Saccharomyces cerevisiae S288C: one gene and its partners. The protein of the gene in region 1 interacts with the protein of each later gene in a biochemical or structural test. Each region holds a gene or a part of one and is shown in the gene's direction. Other genes may lie near its edges.

The links.
Region 2: the proteins of STE12 (region 1) and TEC1 form a complex in vitro, tested with the Saccharomyces cerevisiae proteins (4 studies listed by BioGRID).
Region 3: the proteins of STE12 (region 1) and KSS1 form a complex in vitro, tested with the Saccharomyces cerevisiae proteins (4 studies listed by BioGRID, with this or other methods).

Annotation. Positions count from the first base shown.
Region 1 is NC_001140.6:267,186-276,740, forward strand, and holds STE12 (homeodomain family transcription factor STE12), read left to right. Parts: upstream 1-6,988; coding exon 6,989-9,055; downstream 9,056-9,555. Other genes in the region: LRP1 (Lrp1p), read left to right, coding at 353-907; putative serine/threonine protein kinase KSP1, read right to left, coding at 1,274-4,363; SAM complex subunit SAM35, read left to right, coding at 5,442-6,431. UniProt on the Saccharomyces cerevisiae protein: Binds to the DNA sequence mediating pheromone induction (called the pheromone response element = PRE) which is found in the upstream control region of several a-, alpha- and haploid-specific genes.
Region 2 is NC_001134.8:407,582-413,473, forward strand, and holds TEC1 (Tec1p), read left to right. Parts: upstream 1-1,587; coding exon 1,588-3,048; downstream 3,049-5,892. Other genes in the region: trifunctional formate-tetrahydrofolate ligase/methenyltetrahydrofolate cyclohydrolase/methylenetetrahydrofolate dehydrogenase MIS1, read left to right, coding at 3,473-5,892. UniProt on the Saccharomyces cerevisiae protein: TEC1 is involved in the activation of TY1 and TY1-mediated gene expression. It is not involved in mating or sporulation processes.
Region 3 is NC_001139.9:573,663-579,348, forward strand, and holds KSS1 (mitogen-activated serine/threonine-protein kinase KSS1), read left to right. Parts: upstream 1-1,735; coding exon 1,736-2,842; downstream 2,843-5,686. Other genes in the region: YGR039W (uncharacterized protein), read left to right, coding at 1,226-1,537; BUD9 (Bud9p), read left to right, coding at 3,825-5,468. UniProt on the Saccharomyces cerevisiae protein: Together with closely related FUS3, KSS1 is the final kinase in the signal transduction cascade regulating activation/repression of the mating and filamentation pathways, induced by pheromone and nitrogen/carbon limitation, respectively.

The DNA of each region.
Region 1 (9,555 bases):
CCGCATAAAGCCAGCCACTACTGGCGTGGAAAGATTTTTAGATTAGAAGACAATACAAAGCGGCAACGTCATAACCTTGGTATTTATTGGGCAAGCATTTTCATATCAGCGTACATACACCAGCAATGGGAATGTAAAGAAGAGTCGTTACTAGCATATTTTCTATTCATGCGGGTACCCAACATGTCACGTTTCACGAATTCTCGTGCAGTTTTTCAGCGATGAGCTAAGGCAGATGGTTATGGACTGTGCCTTCTGTAGTCTGTGGAAGAAAAAACTGGTTAACAGCCTACAGTAGAAATCGATTAATATAAACATATATCTAGCAACGTAACGGAGTATTAGATCAGTAATGGAAGATATCGAAAAGATAAAACCATACGTTAGGAGTTTTTCAAAGGCGTTAGACGAGCTGAAACCAGAAATAGAGAAACTAACGTCGAAGTCACTGGATGAACAGCTGTTGCTATTATCTGATGAGAGGGCTAAATTAGAACTAATTAATCGTTACGCGTATGTATTGAGTTCTCTGATGTTTGCTAATATGAAAGTCCTAGGCGTCAAAGATATGTCTCCTATACTCGGCGAACTGAAAAGAGTAAAATCATACATGGATAAGGCTAAACAATACGATAATAGGATAACCAAATCCAACGAAAAATCGCAGGCAGAGCAAGAAAAAGCTAAGAATATCATTTCCAATGTTTTGGACGGTAATAAAAACCAATTCGAGCCCTCTATAAGCAGGAGCAACTTTCAAGGGAAGCATACGAAATTTGAAAACGATGAACTGGCAGAGAGTACAACGACTAAGATTATTGACAGTACCGATCATATAAGGAAAGCAAGTAGTAAGAAAAGTAAAAGATTGGATAAAGTTGGAAAAAAGAAAGGAGGGAAGAAGTAGAGGTCGACGTATACTGGTACATGAGTGAAAAAATGATTAAAGGTGATGTGAGAGCACAAATGCAAAAATGCTTATAGGGTTTATATACTTTTATAATAACAATAAGAACTCGTTGAAGTAACTAATATGTGTATATGCTATTCTTGTAGTTGGCAGTGAACACTTTTGTGTGAATTGACGTTATATAAGACTGTAGAAATATCTAAGAAAAGAGAGTTTTCATAAAACCCTTCAAGCTTAACTACCAAAAAGCATTCATACTTAGAAGTTGAAATGCACGATGATGCCAAATTGATGAAAAAAGCTAAAAATGCATTTCAGAAGGGAAGAAAATAATAAGCAACATAACAGAGGGAATAGGTGCGCTTAGTCTTGTTGCTGTAAAATTAACCAATTATTCTTGTATTGTTCTAACGATCCGACCATTTCATCCTGAATACTTGTCTTCCTGCCAGCTCCTAATTTTTTATCGTGAGTGGAGCCAGCGAAAGTTTGAGCATAAATTTCATAAGGACCGAAAATTTGCCTTTCATCCGGGGAGGTTGACGAGGATTCGTTGTCACCACCTTCCATTTTGCCATGTGCCATCTTGTCACTTTCTCCTTCGTATTCTTCGTCTTCGAAAATTATGGCGTCATTGTTAGAGTCTGCGAATACGTCTTCATTTTGCAACGCAATCGTAGTGCTTGAATGATTACGAGGTAATAAAGGTTTAGGGAAGCCAACGAAGGAGCTTTTAGCTCCTGGTGAAGAGGACAACTTCTCGAGTGCTTTATTCATATGCAGTGGGTTAGATTCATTAGCACTGGAACGCCTGGAATTGTAAGATCCACCAAAATTAACAGAATTATGCGAAACTGACAACGTGGCCTCGTTACTTGTCTTCATATTCATAGGAGGTACCTGTGTTCCCAAGTTGAAACTCTTCCTATGATGAGGTGGAACATAAACCCCATTTTTAAATTTTTGTTCCATACTGAGTCTACGCTCCTGCTCTAGCTCCTTAGAGTCAGATGAGTGTGAATATCGATTGCCAATATTACCTGTTAAAATTGGATCAATTGGTCCAGAAGATAAATTTAAATGTGCTTCAGATGATGCTGGTGATTTTAGTAAATCTGGTAGTTCATTAGATTCATTATTGTTATTGTTGATATGCAATGATGTTGTCAAAGGAGGTGGAATATATTGTCTATGATATTGATTAGTGGTACTATTGGTGTCGATATGGTTGTTGTTGCCATTGTTATTGTGATTAGTGCTTGCGTGAACAAATACTTCATTATGGCTACCTACCGTTGTATGCGGTAAGTGATCATTTATAGATAAGTTGTCCATACCATTGACGAAATCATGATCACCTTCTTCAAGAGTGAATAAAACGTCGTCTGAATCGTGATCGCCCTCAGAATCCATACTATCCTGAGTGTAGTGTTCCTGGTATGAAGGCTTCCCACCTAAAACGGTAGAGATATCAGGAGCAGTTGATTGCGGAACTCTTAAAAACTGATTCGTTGGGCTTACGTGATGGTTCCTGGCATTTGGTGGAATATAAGCGCCTGGTGAATGTTGAACTGTAGTCGTAGAACCACGCCTTGCATAACCATTTATAGAACTATTGTTGTTATGATTATAGCTCATGTTGTACCTTGAAAGTGGTGACTTACCGGTATAACTGGAGGAACTTGGTCTTCTGTATTTGTTAAAGTTTTTGTTCCAACCCTTTATATAGCTATTACCATTGTTAAAATTATTATAATTACTTCCATGATTGTTATTGCTGTTGTTGTTATTATTGTTGTAATTACGATTCTGTCTGTACTGTTTATTGTTGTTGTTGGAAAACCCCTCCATATACCTGTGCTGGACACTTGGAGGAGTGAAAAAATCTCTGGTGTTGAATTCATCCCTTGCTTTGTAATCGTGGAAAAAATTATTCATGTGTGTATTAGGCGTTGGTATGCCAAGAGGCTTCCTTGATTTTTTCAAAATTTTACTTTTCTTTCTATCTTCGATATTGACTGGTTTGGAAAATTGATTATCAGTTCTTCCGTACTTATTGCGCTTCTTAAATTTGAACTTAGGAGCAGATTTAGCCCTTTCATGAGTAGATAGTGTTGTATTATAACCCTGGTTGAAAAATTTCTGTTGTTGTGTAGACGGTTTTTTAAAGAAGCCGCTTGCAACATTTTGATTTTGAGAGACATCTGACCGTTTCCTTTCATTCACATTATTGAAATTGAAATCCTTTTTAAATTCAGGCATATGTTGTTTGTTACTAGATGAAATAGGAGTAGGTAATGATACCGGTGCTGAAGATGGAGGAACAGGCTGAGGTGGCAAACCGTCAATCATAGTTTCTTCATATCCTTCATCCAAGTTATTATAGTATTCATCGTCTAATGTATACTCAGATAAGTTCTGTAGTTCAGTTCTCATCATTTTCAAGTCTCTATTAGCCGGATCGATGGTTAAACTATACCTTAATACTTGAAAGAAATCATAAGCCATTGTCGAAAATACATCAAACAACGCTTCTCTATTAGCAGCAAAATAACAGAATGACTTGTCGGATTGATTGGCAATACTAAAAGGATTCTTATGGAAAACAATATTAAGAAACACAATTCCCATAGCCCATAAATCCACTTTGGCACAGTCATAAGGTTCCTTTCTTTCCTTGATATCCAAATTACTATCAAAAAGTTCAGGGGACATATATCTTTCACTACCGACATTTCTATCCATAGACGTCTTATCTGTAGTAGCCAATCCCCAATCTGTAAGCTTAATTGTCCAATCAATTCCAGAAATTAAAATGTTCTCAGGTTTTATATCACGATGATAAATGCCCTTGTTATGAACATATTCAATTGCATCCATGATTTGTGTGATAATATGAGTGATCGATTTGGTTTTCTTAGGCACAGCATCGGCTTTGATCGCCTCATATAGGTCACCGCCAGAGCAATATTCCATGATGATGTAAGAGTCGAAGAAATCTAATAGAGCAGCAATATTTTGGTGTCTACCAATTTTTGTTTGAATATCAACTTCATACATGGCTTCGAGACAAATGTTATTAGATAGTCTTGATTTAACTTTCGAAGAAATTAGGGACTTTTTGTGTTTGTAGAGATTGTGTTTCTTCTCTCTACTTGACCCGTTATTACTGGAGGCATTACCATTTTCATTTTCATGGCGATCCGTATCAACTTTCGTGTCTTCATCATCATCACAATCGCTACTATCACAATCATTTTCGTCGTCCTGAGGCCCATCGTACTGGCCGTCATCTTCTAATTTGAAAATGTATTTGACTGCAACCAATCTTTTCTCTCTAACATCTTTAGCCAATGATACATAACCATATGAACCTTCACTGATATCCTCTATTTTTTGATATCGATTATTCAAAATACCTCCTTCTTTGTAAATCTCGTAATCTAAAGTCATCGAGTTTCAAAAAATTGTAAGAAAAAAATATTGCACTAACTTTACGTGTCTTTTTGTTTTGTATTTGAAATTTCTAAGTTTTTGGAAGTTTTTAATTTTTTTTTTCCTTTTTTATTTTAGGTTAAAGTATAGTGAAAGAATAGTAGGGTTAACGGAGAGAAAGAATCCGGTAATATGCAGTCTATAAGGCCTATAAGATTTGATGGCGGGTATGAAGCAGGTTTTTTTTTTTTGGCTTTTTCTTCTAAGAAAAAATTTATAGAGAAAAGATGTCTTTAATTATAACCTATTCTTTTTTTTTTTGCCAGCTAATACCAGTAAGTTTTGTTTTTTTGCGACACTAGATTGGAAGAGTAGAATCAGAAAATGAACCTTCTGTAAGTATAAAGAAGTCTTTTTTCTCTTTGATACTACTGTATTCGTGGTGTCCCTTTTCAGAAAACTATAGCTTTGAGCCTGTATGCTATTTTTCTATTTCCTTCTTTGCAGTTCTTTTTTGAGCAGAGAACAATATCCGGGTCACGTGAAAGTTAGATAAGCATGCAAAGATAGCCAGAGAGATTTCGAAGTTGAATAAAACAAGGGAATGGGTCACTTGTTATATTCTTTACAGATTGAGAGTGCAGTAATATTCTGCGGACGCCAGTAAGTACTGTTTGAGGTTGTATTTTTATAGTAGAGGACACTTGAGACTGTGTAAAATGCGCTCACCAAAAAAAAGGGTCTGTTTGCGATCAACAAACAAATAATAAGATAAGTTAGGGAAAAGAAAGGTGAACACTGTTGCGGAATGCGTGGACTGCTTGTGTAAAAATGCTAGTAATGAGGGAAGTGTGGACTTGATATGGCCTGTTGTGGAAGCCTGAGAGTTCTTTCACGTGCTGTGTTCGGCCCGCCTATATAGGGACAAATTGTTAAAAAGATAAATAAATATAATCTGCCTCGGAAGGGGTTGGGAACGCCCGGCAGTAGCGATGAGGGTAACGGGACGATATTTAGAAGTGAATGCTGAAATAAATGGTGTGAAGGCCTCTTGTATGTCGTCTCATATAGGGCTAAAACGAAGCCATCGTGCACAATGGTAAGTTCATTCAGTGTTCCCATGCCAGTAAAACGGATATTTGACACATTTCCGTTACAAACATATGCTGCGCAGACTGACAAGGACGAGGCCGTTGCATTAGAAATACAGCGGAGGTCCTACACATTCACAGAACGCGGTGGTGGAAGCTCTGAGTTGACTGTGGAGGGGACGTACAAGCTAGGTGTTTACAACGTTTTTTTGGAGGCAAATACAGGGGCGGCATTGGCCACAGATCCATGGTGTCTGTTTGTTCAGCTTGCGCTGTGTCAAAAGAATGGTCTAGTCTTACCCACGCACTCGCAGGAACAAACCCCATCGCATACCTGTAACCATGAAATGCTCGTTCTGTCCCGTCTTTCTAACCCCGATGAGGCCCTACCTATTCTAGTTGAGGGTTACAAGAAGAGAATTATAAGATCCACCGTGGCAATCAGCGAAATTATGAGGTCTCGGATACTTGATGATGCTGAGCAGTTGATGTACTATACGTTGCTGGATACCGTGCTGTACGATTGTTGGATCACGCAAATAATTTTCTGTGCCTCAGATGCGCAATTCATGGAATTGTACTCTTGCCAGAAGTTAAGTGGTTCGATAGTCACTCCATTGGACGTAGAAAACTCTTTATTACAGAAGTTGTCCGCAAAGAGTTTGAAGATATCCCTAACAAAGCGGAACAAGTTCCAGTTCCGCCATCGAGAAATCGTCAAGAGTATGCAAGGAGTTTATCACAACCATCACAACTCCGTTAATCAAGAGCAGGTCTTGAACGTTTTGTTCGAGAATAGCAAGCAAGTTCTTTTAGGTTTAAAAGATATGTTGAAAAGCGACGGGCAACCCACTTACTTACATCTGAAAATTGCAAGTTACATTCTTTGTATAACGAACGTTAAGGAACCCATAAAGCTAAAGACATTTGTTGAAAACGAATGTAAAGAATTGGTCCAGTTTGCACAAGACACCCTGAAGAACTTCGTTCAGTAATCACTTTCAAGCTGTAGTATGTAAACGATATAGATGAAGTTTTCGTGTGTATAAATATATGAACTCTAGAGTGTTGCATAATTTGAAACACAGCATTTCTTTTCGGAGAGCTCGTTTCAAAATGAAACAAACGCCGTTGTCCGTTTTCGTCTCAATAGAAAAAGTGAAACAGATAAAAATTGTTTTAAAAGAAACGAATTTGCAACATCTTAAGATATATCAAAACTAATACAAAACAGCCTAAAAAAGATTGAACAACTCTTCGCGGTCAGGTCTCGACACCATAAATCGAAGTACTCGTACGCTAGTTTTCTCGCACATAGTACCACTACGTTCCTTTTACAATTAGATTACTTCTTTTTAGTTGACTTTTTTGAGACGTTCGTGCCATTCATAAAATAGGAAAAGATAACAGGTAAGCACTGAAGACTTGTTTTATAAGTGTCCCAAGCGAGACCTAGAGTGGATATTGATATTTCTCAAACAAGACTCGTCGAAGAAAACACACTTTTATAGCGGAACCGCTTTCTTTATTTGAATTGTCTTGTTCACCAAGGATGAAAGTCCAAATAACCAATAGTAGAACAGAGGAAATCTTAAAAGTTCAAGCTAATAATGAAAACGATGAAGTCAGTAAAGCTACTCCGGGCGAAGTTGAAGAATCGCTAAGGTTAATCGGCGATCTAAAATTCTTTTTAGCCACAGCGCCGGTAAATTGGCAAGAAAACCAAATTATAAGGCGATACTATCTGAATAGTGGACAAGGCTTTGTCTCTTGTGTATTTTGGAACAATCTATACTATATTACAGGTACTGATATTGTCAAATGTTGTCTTTACAGAATGCAAAAGTTTGGGAGAGAAGTAGTTCAAAAGAAAAAATTTGAAGAGGGTATTTTTTCAGATTTAAGAAATCTCAAATGTGGTATAGATGCAACTTTAGAACAACCAAAGTCCGAATTTTTGTCGTTTCTATTCAGAAATATGTGTCTGAAAACCCAAAAAAAGCAGAAAGTATTTTTTTGGTTCAGTGTAGCACATGATAAGTTGTTTGCGGATGCGTTGGAAAGAGATTTAAAAAGAGAAAGTTTGAATCAGCCTTCAACGACTAAGCCCGTTAATGAGCCCGCCTTATCTTTTTCATATGATTCCTCATCTGATAAGCCTCTCTACGATCAGTTACTTCAACATTTAGATTCTAGAAGACCATCTAGTACAACAAAATCAGATAATTCGCCTCCAAAATTAGAAAGCGAGAATTTTAAGGATAATGAGTTGGTAACAGTAACTAATCAGCCGCTTTTAGGCGTTGGCCTCATGGATGACGATGCGCCAGAATCCCCCTCTCAAATTAATGATTTTATTCCTCAGAAATTGATTATAGAACCCAATACTCTCGAATTGAATGGTCTCACAGAAGAAACGCCTCATGACTTACCCAAGAATACCGCTAAGGGCAGAGACGAAGAAGATTTTCCTCTCGACTATTTTCCTGTATCTGTTGAATACCCTACGGAGGAAAATGCGTTTGATCCGTTCCCTCCACAGGCTTTTACGCCAGCTGCCCCTTCCATGCCTATTTCCTATGATAACGTGAATGAAAGGGATTCTATGCCCGTTAATTCTCTTCTTAATAGATACCCCTATCAGTTATCAGTGGCACCCACTTTCCCAGTGCCACCATCATCATCGAGGCAACATTTTATGACAAATCGGGATTTTTATTCATCTAACAATAACAAGGAAAAATTGGTATCTCCTAGCGACCCTACCAGCTACATGAAGTATGACGAACCAGTTATGGATTTTGATGAATCTCGGCCAAATGAAAACTGTACAAATGCAAAATCTCACAACTCTGGCCAGCAAACTAAACAACACCAATTATATTCTAACAACTTCCAGCAATCTTACCCAAACGGAATGGTTCCAGGATACTACCCAAAAATGCCGTATAATCCCATGGGGGGGGATCCTCTACTCGATCAAGCCTTTTATGGCGCGGACGATTTTTTCTTTCCACCAGAAGGATGTGATAACAATATGCTGTATCCACAAACTGCAACTTCATGGAATGTTTTGCCCCCTCAAGCTATGCAACCAGCTCCAACCTATGTTGGGAGACCATACACACCGAATTATAGATCGACACCAGGTTCCGCGATGTTCCCATACATGCAAAGTTCAAATTCCATGCAGTGGAACACTGCTGTTTCACCTTATAGTTCGAGAGCACCATCTACAACTGCTAAAAACTATCCTCCTAGCACATTTTATTCTCAAAATATAAATCAATACCCACGGCGAAGAACTGTGGGAATGAAGTCTTCACAAGGAAATGTTCCAACAGGTAATAAACAATCTGTGGGCAAGTCTGCAAAAATTTCAAAGCCTCTACATATTAAGACAAGTGCTTATCAGAAGCAATACAAAATCAACTTGGAAACGAAAGCCAGGCCAAGTGCTGGTGACGAAGATTCTGCTCATCCTGATAAGAACAAAGAAATTTCGATGCCTACTCCGGATTCCAATACTTTGGTGGTCCAGTCAGAAGAAGGTGGAGCTCATTCACTTGAGGTAGATACCAATCGAAGGTCCGATAAAAACCTTCCAGATGCAACCTGATATAATATAATTTTTGAATTTATGATACAAGAATTAAAAATGCGGGCCAGAATTTAATATTAAACAATACTCAGAAGAAAACAACAAGGACAATCTGTTTTTATAAATAAAACAATCTTATACAAGACTAGAGCAAACAAAAAGCAAGAAAAAAAGGTAATAAATGTAACAAATCTATTAACGTTAGAAAATAACAAAAAAAAAAAAAGAAAAAGATAATATAATATAATACCTTTATATATGTGATTTATCTAGCGTCACAGTATGTAATATAAATATCAATGAGTTTCTTAACATGACCTCCAAAACTACATGATCGCTTAGTATTACAATATGTGTTTATCCACTATTTTGATACCAACGTAGTATTGCCTTTTATTTTTCAGAATGGCAAAGGCCATCGGAAAATTTTTCCACCAGAAAAAGCGAGATTCCTAATTATAAGGTGAAGGCATCGATGTTCATAATAGTTAAAAGTTGTAATCAAAAAAGAAAAAGGT
Region 2 (5,892 bases), on another chromosome or scaffold:
GTTACATCATTTCTTATCACGTAAGACTACTTATTGTCAAACTTTTTATGAAGTCATAAGGTGGACATATGAATAGTGCAGTTACCCTTGTTCAGGAATGACACCTTGTGCATTCCAGTGAGAAAGGAATGTTGACTAAAACAGTAGCTGTGCTTTTTTTTTTCTTTTTTGCCTTTTTATTCTTAATGTTCAAGAAAACTTTCTTTCCATGGAATGTATGAGGACCCTTTATTTTGAGGAATGGGTTCGAATTTATCATGCAAATTGGCAAGAATTTACTAAGTGGACTATATTTAAAGAGTTGAATTTTACGGTGAAAGTAAATTAACGCTACTTCTGTTGTTTTGGAAAAGCCAAGTTCAAGTTTCTTTTCTTGATTATTTATTCTCGTAACGATTTCGCTTTTCCTCTCTATATATTTTCCTACTCCATTCTGTAAAGAGCTTCCAGAACAAAATATAAATAAATAAAAAAAACTTCTCTTCAGGCAAGAGTACGTTCTTCGCTGGTTTCCTACAGAATCAAAAGAGTACTGCAGCTTATTGTACACACTTACAATATTCAAAACATGTGTGGCCTACTCGGTTCCTGGCAAGGTTAAGCCAAGTGGTGTAGTTACCAGAAAAAAGTGAACACATACAAGATACGATGCGTAAGTACATAAGGTATGACAGCCTGTAACAAATCCACGTTAGATTTATATCTTCTAGGCTGAGAATCTGGCAGGTTTTAGCAAAACATATATAACTTGCTCTCATTAAGCGGGCTCACTGCTTAAGCGATTGTTACCTGGAACTACAGGCAAGTACAATAGCCTCCTCCAGCTTTTGACTCTGAAAAAAAGGTAACGAAAGAAACTTTTCACACAGATAGGAACTATTCTAATATTACAGTAAAGCCAGCTATGGAATAACAGGTGGCATGTGCCCACTGTATTCATGTATGAGCGGCCTTTTTTTTCCACGAAAACAGATATGATGATGTTTTAGGCCAAAATGGTGAGATCCTTTTACAGGAAGATTTTACGCCAACTCTTTCCATTTAGTGACACAGGTGAGGGTCTTTTATCGGCGCAAGGTGTTTCAGATGAGCCATTTTGCCCGTAGTCCGGTTTAATCAGCCTCATTGGAATTCCCCGGCACCGCTCGCATTCCGCGTACGACTCAAAGAATTTCCCATTGAATTCGGGAATGTGCGTGTTTCAGATTGCGTTTGCTTATTATTCTGGGAAACTCTCCGGAAACAAGCTGAGCTGGACTCCACGAATGGTCCCTCACAAGGCTCTTGGCTCATGCACAGTTAAAAAGCACCTGTAGCTACCATCAGCAATCCATGGTGCTGGAGTTTCTCTCGATGGTACGGCCCATAGCTGGAGAAAATAGCTTATTACCAAAAAAGTAATTCCCCCGCAGAGGTATATATTAAGTTTGAAACAAAAGGCTTGCTTAATTTTTTACATATGACAACCCTTTTCTTACTTTTATAAATGTTTATGAAACAGGAGATTCTTCGACTGGTGCCAGATTCCTCCCATATCGACAAGAAGAATAATCCACCTATTTCAACAATTCTGATACCTGTTTAACCATGAGTCTTAAAGAAGACGACTTTGGCAAGGATAATTCTAGAAATATAGAATCATATACTGGTAGAATTTTTGACGTATATATACAAAAAGATTCGTATTCACAGTCGGCCTTGGATGATATGTTTCCAGAAGCCGTAGTTTCAACCGCCGCTTGTGTGAAAAATGAAGCGGAGGATAACATCAATCTCATAGACACGCATCCTCAATTCGAACTGGTAAATACTGGACTGGGTGCTAAATCGGACGATTTGAAATCTCCATCAGCAAAGGCTACGTTCACTGACAAGCAGAGGAAGAATGAAGTACCAAATATATCTGTGAGCAACTACTTTCCCGGACAAAGTAGCGAAACGTCGTCAACAACGGAATCTTGGACTATCGGTTGTGATAAGTGGTCAGAAAAGGTAGAAGAGGCATTCCTTGAGGCACTTAGACTGATAATGAAAAATGGGACCACAAAAATAAAAATAAGAAATGCCAATTTTGGAAGAAACGAGCTGATTTCATTATATATCAAGCACAAAACCAACGAGTTCAGAACCAAAAAGCAAATTTCTTCCCATATTCAAGTCTGGAAGAAGACCATACAAAACAAAATCAAGGACTCGCTGACCCTATCATCAAAGGAGAAGGAGCTTCTACACCTTATCGAACATGGCGCTGAACAAACTACTGAAAACTCAAACCTGTTTTATGACATATTTGAAGAAATTATCGACTCTCTACCTTCAGTCAGTGATTCTGGAAGTTTAACCCCTAAAAACCTCTATGTAAGTAATAATAGCAGTGGATTGTCAGTACATTCAAAACTGCTTACGCCAATCACTGCTTCCAACGAGAAAAAAATTGAAAATTTCATAAAAACTAATGCTGCATCTCAAGCCAAAACCCCCCTCATTTACGCTAAGCACATTTATGAAAACATAGACGGCTACAAGTGCGTTCCGTCAAAGAGGCCTCTTGAACAACTTTCCCCCACGGAACTCCACCAGGGAGATCGCCCCAATAAGGCTAGCTTTTCCAACAAGAAGGCAATCCTGGAGAGTGCAAAAAAAATCGAAATAGAGCAGAGAAAGATAATCAACAAATACCAAAGAATTTCCCGCATACAAGAACATGAAAGTAATCCTGAGTTCAGTTCCAATTCCAATTCCGGTTCAGAGTACGAATCGGAGGAAGAAGTAGTCCCAAGATCAGCCACAGTCACACAACTCCAAAGCAGACCAGTGCCATACTACAAGAATAATGGAATGCCCTACTCACTCTCCAAAGTACGAGGAAGGCCCATGTATCCAAGACCTGCTGAAGATGCTTACAATGCCAATTATATTCAAGGTCTGCCCCAGTACCAAACATCTTATTTTTCGCAGCTGTTATTATCATCACCCCAGCATTACGAACATTCTCCACATCAAAGGAACTTTACGCCATCCAACCAATCGCATGGGAACTTTTATTAAATGTCTACATACATACATACATCTCGTACATAAATACGCATACGTATCTTCGTAGTAAGAACCGTCACAGATATGATTGAGCACGGTACAATTATGTATTAGTCAAACATTACCAGTTCTCGAACAAAACCAAAGCTACTCCTGCAACACTCTTCTATCGCACATGTATGGTTCTTATTGTTTCCCGAGTTCTTTTTTACTGACGCGCCAGAACGAGTAAGAAAGTTCTCTAGCGCCATGCTGAAATTTTTTTCACTTCAACGGACAGCGATTTTTTTTCTTTTTCCTCCGAAATAATGTTGCAGCGGTTCTCGATGCCTCAAGAATTGCAGAAGTAAACCAGCCAATACACATCAAAAAACAACTTTCATTACTGTGATTCTCTCAGTCTGTTCATTTGTCAGATATTTAAGGCTAAAAGGAAATGTTGTCGAGACTATCTTTATTGAGTAACTCGAGGGCGTTCCAACAGGCCAGATGGCGCATTTACCGCTTAAAAGTTTCGCCAACTGTGCATGCTTCTCAATACCATATTCTTTCTGGTAGGAAACTTGCTCAATCTATTCGAGAAAAAGCCAATGATGAGATACAAGCCATTAAGCTTAAGCATCCTAATTTCAAGCCTACCTTGAAAATCATTCAAGTCGGGGCCAGACCAGACTCATCTACGTACGTGAGGATGAAATTGAAAGCTTCAAAGGACAGCAATGTAGACTGTATCATAGAGAAGTTACCAGCAGAAATCACTGAAGTTGAGCTTTTGAAGAAAATTAGTGACATCAATGATGATGACTCTATCCATGGGTTGCTAATTCAACTACCTCTACCGCGTCACTTGGATGAAACCACGATTACAAACGCTGTGGACTTTAAAAAGGACGTTGATGGGTTCCACAGATATAATGCTGGTGAATTGGCTAAAAAAGGAGGGAAACCATACTTCATACCATGTACTCCTTATGGTTGCATGAAATTACTTGAAGAAGCTCATGTTAAGTTAGATGGTAAGAACGCCGTCGTGTTAGGCAGATCAAGTATCGTCGGAAATCCAATTGCTTCGTTGTTGAAAAATGCGAATGCCACTGTTACTGTCTGTCATAGTCATACAAGGAACATTGCAGAAGTGGTCTCCCAAGCTGATATAGTTATCGCAGCTTGCGGTATTCCTCAATACGTTAAATCAGACTGGATTAAAGAAGGCGCCGTGGTTATTGATGTAGGTATCAACTACGTACCTGATATCAGTAAGAAAAGTGGGCAAAAATTAGTTGGTGATGTTGATTTTGATTCTGTAAAGGAAAAGACATCTTATATTACCCCTGTTCCTGGTGGAGTGGGTCCAATGACTGTCGCTATGCTTGTTTCCAATGTACTATTAGCTGCTAAAAGGCAATTCGTGGAATCTGAAAAGCTTCCAGTTATCAAACCTCTTCCATTACACTTAGAAAGTCCAGTGCCTTCAGATATTGATATATCAAGAGCTCAGAGTCCTAAGCATATCAAGCAAGTTGCCGAGGAGTTGGGAATCCACTCTCACGAATTAGAATTATACGGCCACTATAAGGCAAAAATTTCTCCAAATATTTTTAAAAGATTAGAATCTAGAGAAAACGGTAAGTACGTCCTTGTTGCAGGTATTACTCCGACTCCATTGGGTGAAGGTAAATCCACTACGACTATGGGGTTGGTGCAGGCTTTATCCGCTCATTTAGGGAAACCATCCATCGCGAACGTTAGACAACCATCTCTTGGCCCAACCCTGGGTGTCAAAGGTGGTGCTGCTGGTGGTGGTTATGCCCAAGTTATTCCTATGGACGAGTTCAATTTACATTTGACCGGGGATATTCATGCTATCAGCGCTGCGAACAATCTTCTTGCAGCAGCTATCGACACTAGAATGTTCCATGAAGCCACTCAGAAGAATGATAGTACATTTTACAAGAGACTAGTTCCAAGAAAAAAAGGCATCAGAAAGTTTACCCCATCCATGCAGAGAAGGCTTAAAAGATTGGATATTGAAAAAGAAGACCCTGATGCTTTAACACCTGAAGAAGTCAAAAGATTTGCTAGATTGAACATAAATCCCGATACTATCACTATCAGAAGAGTTGTCGACATCAATGACAGGATGTTAAGACAAATTACCATTGGCGAAGCCGCTACGGAGAAGGGTTTTACAAGGACCACTGGATTCGATATCACTGTTGCCTCTGAATTAATGGCCATTTTAGCTCTATCTAAAAGCTTACACGAGATGAAGGAACGTATTGGACGCATGGTTATTGGTGCTGATTATGATAACAAACCAGTAACAGTAGAAGATATTGGCTGTACCGGTGCTCTGACTGCATTATTACGTGACGCTATAAAGCCTAACTTAATGCAAACTTTGGAAGGGACCCCCGTAATGGTTCACGCTGGTCCTTTCGCCAACATCTCCATCGGCGCATCATCAGTAATTGCAGACTTAATGGCATTGAAGCTTGTTGGTTCAGAAAAGAACCCGTTAAATGACAAGAACATCCATGAACCTGGTTATGTAGTTACTGAAGCAGGATTCGATTTTGCCATGGGTGGTGAAAGATTCTTTGATATCAAATGTCGTTCCTCTGGATTGGTGCCAGATGCAGTTGTCTTAGTCGCAACCGTAAGAGCTTTGAAATCTCATGGAGGTGCTCCAAATGTTAAGCCCGGACAATCATTACCAAAAGAATACACAGAGGAAAACATCGATTTTGTTGCCAAGGGTGTTAGTAATTTGGTTAAGCAGATTGAAAACATCAAAACGTTTGGAATACCAGTCGTTGTAGCAATCAACAGATTTGAAACAGACTCACAGGCAGA
Region 3 (5,686 bases), on another chromosome or scaffold:
ACAAAGGACTGTAAGGATGTCAGCATAATTAATTTCTAAAATTTGTTTTACCCATGTTGGCAATAAATGAAATGGGGCAAATGCTTGGAAGGTATTGTATATATACGCATGTTCTTCATAAGTCATTTGTCTTTTGATTTCACCCTGGTCATTTGGAATGATGTCACCGAGATTAGAGTTCTTCAAAAATCTGATGTAAAATTTAACCCATGTAGAAAAGTTTTCTTCTGATGTTAAAGTGTGTGGTGGTAAGACGTTATTTCCCACCTTTGTCTTAGCTTGAGGTATTTCAGAGTGTTGATTTTTTAAATCGATTGGATCAGGTGAGGAAGTACTCAGTGGTGGGATATACTGTGGCAACGGATAGTGTGGGTCCGGTTGATAATACGCAGGTGACGTTTGATAATGTGAACACGTCATCATAGATGGTTGTTGGTAATGTGCCCAGTTAGAGGCCATAGCTTTGTTTGGGGTCATCATGCCGTGCTGTTGGTACTGTCCATTCTGTGGAGGTGGTACTGAAGCAGGTTGAGGAGAGACATGATGATGGTTCTCTGGAACAGCTGATGTCCCAGGTGTTGTCTCTTGTTGAGAATTAACCTTAGTGGAATCTCTATCAAATTCCGGTAAATTGGAAGCTGAAACGGCTAACGGATCTTGATTTTATGGGACTTCCTTAGAAGTAACCGAAGCATAGGCGCTACCATGAAGAGAATGTGGATTTTGATGTAATTGTTGGGATTCCATTTTTTATAAGGCGATAATATTAGGTATGTAGATATACTAGAAGTTCTCCTCGAGGATTTAGGAATCCATAAAAGGGAATCTGCAATTCTACACAATTCTATAAATATTATTATCATCATTTTATATGTTAATATTCATTGATCCTATTACATTATCAATCCTTGCGTTTCAGCTTCCACTAATTTAGATGACTATTTTTCATCATTTGCGTCATCTTCTAACACCGTATATGATAATATACTAGTAACGTAAATACTAGTTAGTAGATGATAGTTGATTTTTATTCCAACAGTATTTATGTTTTGTCATTCTTTTCTACATAATCTTGAAACTAGGTAGATCTACAATTGAAAAGTAAATACTAACATTATTTACTAAATTTAAGTTAGAAATCGGCACGAAAAAAATTTGACAGATTACGAGAGTCCAGCCAAAATATGAGTATATTACTATTTCCCCTTGGTGAAAGAAATGAAAGATGTTATTTTTTACCGGCTTAGTAATACTGAGCTACTTACTTGGGGGAAAGAAAGATTGGCTACTTATTATGTATGAAGCCTCAGATTACCTTGAATTCCTCAACCGTTTGAGCAGTATGCTCTTCAAATTCGAACTTTTTGAACATCTTTCCTCCACATTCCTGATTTTTTCACATTCAAAACGCGCTGTGAAGCTGTTAGAAATTTACAGATCGAGGCATATTTCTATATATAATGTATTTTTATTAAGACACCCAAAGTACTTCCAATCTGTAGATATTGCACTTTATCTGACCAGAAGCCAGACTTGAACAGTTACATATTGTGCTTTGCAGTCGTTAAATTTCCCGAACTGTTTTCGTATTTTTTTTTCTTTTCCTCTTTTCCACTGGATCAGATCAAAAGCCGACTAAAAATTTGGCAATTTAAAGAAAGCATCTTTTAAAGATAGAAAAGGTTATTTCAACAAAAAAGTATCTTTTCTTCACTTTTCTTTCAACAATTCAAAGATGGCTAGAACCATAACTTTTGATATCCCTTCCCAATATAAACTCGTAGATTTAATAGGTGAGGGAGCGTACGGAACAGTATGTTCAGCAATTCATAAGCCTTCCGGCATAAAGGTAGCTATCAAGAAAATACAACCGTTTAGCAAAAAATTGTTTGTTACAAGAACTATACGTGAGATCAAGCTTTTACGGTATTTCCATGAACACGAAAACATAATAAGTATATTGGATAAAGTAAGGCCAGTATCCATAGACAAACTAAACGCTGTTTATTTAGTCGAAGAGTTGATGGAAACCGATTTACAAAAAGTAATTAATAATCAGAATAGCGGGTTTTCCACTTTAAGTGATGACCATGTTCAATACTTTACATACCAAATCCTCAGAGCCTTAAAGTCTATTCACAGTGCACAAGTTATCCATAGAGACATAAAGCCATCAAACCTGTTACTAAATTCCAATTGTGATCTCAAAGTCTGCGATTTTGGACTAGCGAGGTGTTTAGCTAGCAGTAGCGATTCAAGAGAAACATTGGTAGGATTCATGACGGAGTACGTCGCAACGCGATGGTACAGGGCACCCGAGATAATGCTAACTTTTCAAGAGTACACAACTGCGATGGATATATGGTCATGCGGATGCATTTTGGCTGAAATGGTCTCCGGGAAGCCTTTGTTCCCAGGCAGAGACTATCATCATCAATTATGGCTAATTCTAGAAGTCTTGGGAACTCCATCTTTCGAAGACTTTAATCAGATCAAATCCAAGAGGGCTAAAGAGTATATAGCAAACTTACCTATGAGGCCACCCTTGCCATGGGAGACCGTCTGGTCAAAGACCGATCTGAATCCAGATATGATAGATTTACTAGACAAAATGCTTCAATTCAATCCTGACAAAAGAATAAGCGCAGCAGAAGCTTTAAGACACCCTTACCTGGCAATGTACCATGACCCAAGTGATGAGCCGGAATATCCTCCACTTAATTTGGATGATGAATTTTGGAAACTGGATAACAAGATAATGCGTCCGGAAGAGGAGGAAGAAGTGCCCATAGAAATGCTCAAAGACATGCTTTACGATGAACTAATGAAGACCATGGAATAGTATTCACAAGAACATTTCTGCCATACTTCTAAAATTTCCCTATATTCAGCTTAGCAGTGACACGTTGTGGTCTGTAGGTCAATATGTAAGTAAGAAACTTCAACTCACATATGCACGATGCATGCCAATGGAAAAATGCAAGGAACGAAATGGCGCCACGGCAACAAGTTTTTTTTTTTCGCCAGCAGAAGTACACGAAATGCGGCTTCATGAGCCTCTTCACTGCTTTGCCTAAACGGGAAATGCAGAGAAAAACCAGCCATCGCGTGTGCTTGGAGAGCTGACGCGACTGTAATCAAAGAGGCGATATCAACACCTTTTATCCAGCACTATTCAACAGTGAATGGGCTCCCAAGTAAGTCTTGGCATTGTGCTTTCTATTCTTAAGTATTAAGTAGAAGTTTTGTTTACTGGGTTTGTTTATTCCTGGCTAGATGTTCGCATTCGTTTTCTAGTTGACCATATTTACCAAATATTCACAACTAATACCCAGCCAAGGTAGTCTAAAAGCTAATTTCTCTAAAAGGGAGAAAGTTGGTGATTTTTTATCTCGCATTATTATATATGCAAGAATAGTTAAGGTATAGTTATAAAGTTTTATCTTAATTGCCACATACGTACATTGACACGTAGAAGGACTCCATTATTTTTTTCATTCTAGCATACTATTATTCCTTGTAACGTCCCAGAGTATTCCATTTAATTGTCCTCCATTTCTTAACGGTGACGAAGGATCACCATACAACAACTACTAAAGATTATAGTACACTCTCACCTTGCAACTATTTATCTGACATTTGCCTTACTTTTATCTCCAGCTTCCCCTCGATTTTATTTTTCAATTTGATTTCTAAAGCTTTTTGCTTAGGCATACCAAACCATCCACTCATTTAACACCTTATTTTTTTTTTCGAAGACAGCATCCAACTTTATACGTTCACTACCTTTTTTTTTACAACAATTTCATTCTTCATCCTATGAAATGACGAAAATAACCAGAGATGTTTCGATAACGACAGAAAATTCAAAATCCACATCTGGATCGGCAACGGCTTCATCCGCATCTTTACCTGAGAACGACCACCCAATATTCCATCAACCGCGAGCAAGAATAAGATCTGGTTCGCTGTTCATCGAAGGATCTGATTCATTTCCATCATCAGAAGTGAAGTCATACAATGTTTATATTGATGATAGCAAGTATAGTGAAATCCTCAAAGGAGATACAAATTCAAGTAGTACTGATGGTAAACAAGTCTTTGAAGATGCTAGAGATGACAATTTCCATCAGGAATCACATAGAGATCTAGAGGATTCAATTTTAGATTTAGTACGACGAGATCCAGAAGTAGCAGCATTCCCTTTACCTCCGCCAAATTCAAATGAGAGGAACAGAAATTCCTCAAACGGGTCTTCCGCTGAAACTAACCTAAATGGACACAGCAGCAGCGGTACCATCTCTACTTCGGTGCTGTTGAATATGGGTTCGGCAGAAAAGCACGCTGGGACGACCAGAGGAGATCATATGGAATCATCTTCAATGAAATCCTTCGAGAAACTGGGAACCAGACCTTCTTCTTTATTCTATCCACCACCCGAAGGAACTGCGCCGTACCAGGGACCAAGGGCTACCGTCTCCGGAAATAAGTCTACAAGGCAAACACAAGGTACATACTCATTTCCTTCTATGCGGTATGGTGTAGATCTTGTTTCTCCTGTGGAAGGGGCTGTTGATGTAGCAAAAAGCAGAGTTCCTAACAGCACGCTAAATGGTACTTTTCCCGATAAAGCGTTTATCCCACATGAATTTCAAATTCCTAAAAAGGCCTGGAACAGAATACCAGCGAATAAGTCCACTAGCCTCAAAACCCCAAGAAACCATTCCCTATTAATTGACATATTAAAGCCTTTTGAAGCAGCTGACCTTGCTAATGACCAGCGAAGTTCTTCCGCTGTTTTAAAAAATACAGTGCATTCTAATGGGCAGTATAATCCAACTAATGAAACCTCTGGAACTCGAATGCAAGATCAAAGGCAGAAGAATACCAACGAAATTGATTTAGAGAAAATTCCTAATCCTCAAGTCCCTCTTGGTATCGCAATGGACACCATGCGTAGTCCAAACCAACTACACGAAAAGGAATACGAAAGTAATATAGAAGCTGGTTTAGCTTCTGGGGTCGGAAAAGGTGACAATAGTATTAAGCAACATCAATATAAAAAAATTCCTCAAGAAATTGATCGAGATCAGCAATTAAGTTTTCAAATGGAAACAATGCCCATTCAAAGAATAGATTCCTCCTCCATACGTTCATTTGATTCCCGAATATATGGCTTCTCCGAGATTTATAGTATTCCAAGGGTTATAACTACACTGTGCATCTGCCTTTTTGTTCCGCCCTTATTCTTTTTCTTTTCAATCAATGGAAATAATGGCGTTTCAAATTATAGATTAATGAGAATGATAATGAATTATGAACATAGAATCGGCCTCCTCAAAGGGTTTGAATGGGACATTGACGTACAATGGTTCAGGACATTGTGCTTTGTATTAGGATGTATAGAGATGTTAGCTATCTTTGCTAGCATAGGAATAGGATTTGGTGTGGGAATAATAAGAGAGTAACTCCATGCTGGACTTACTCGTCGAAGATTTCCTGCTACTCTCTATATAATTAGACACCCATGTTATAGATTTCAGAAAACAATGTAATAATATATGGTAGCCTCCTGAAACTACCAAGGGAAAAATCTCAACACCAAGAGCTCATATTCGTTGGAATAGCGATAATATCTCTTTACCTCAATCTTATATGCATGTTATTTGCTCTTATAATTGGTCTC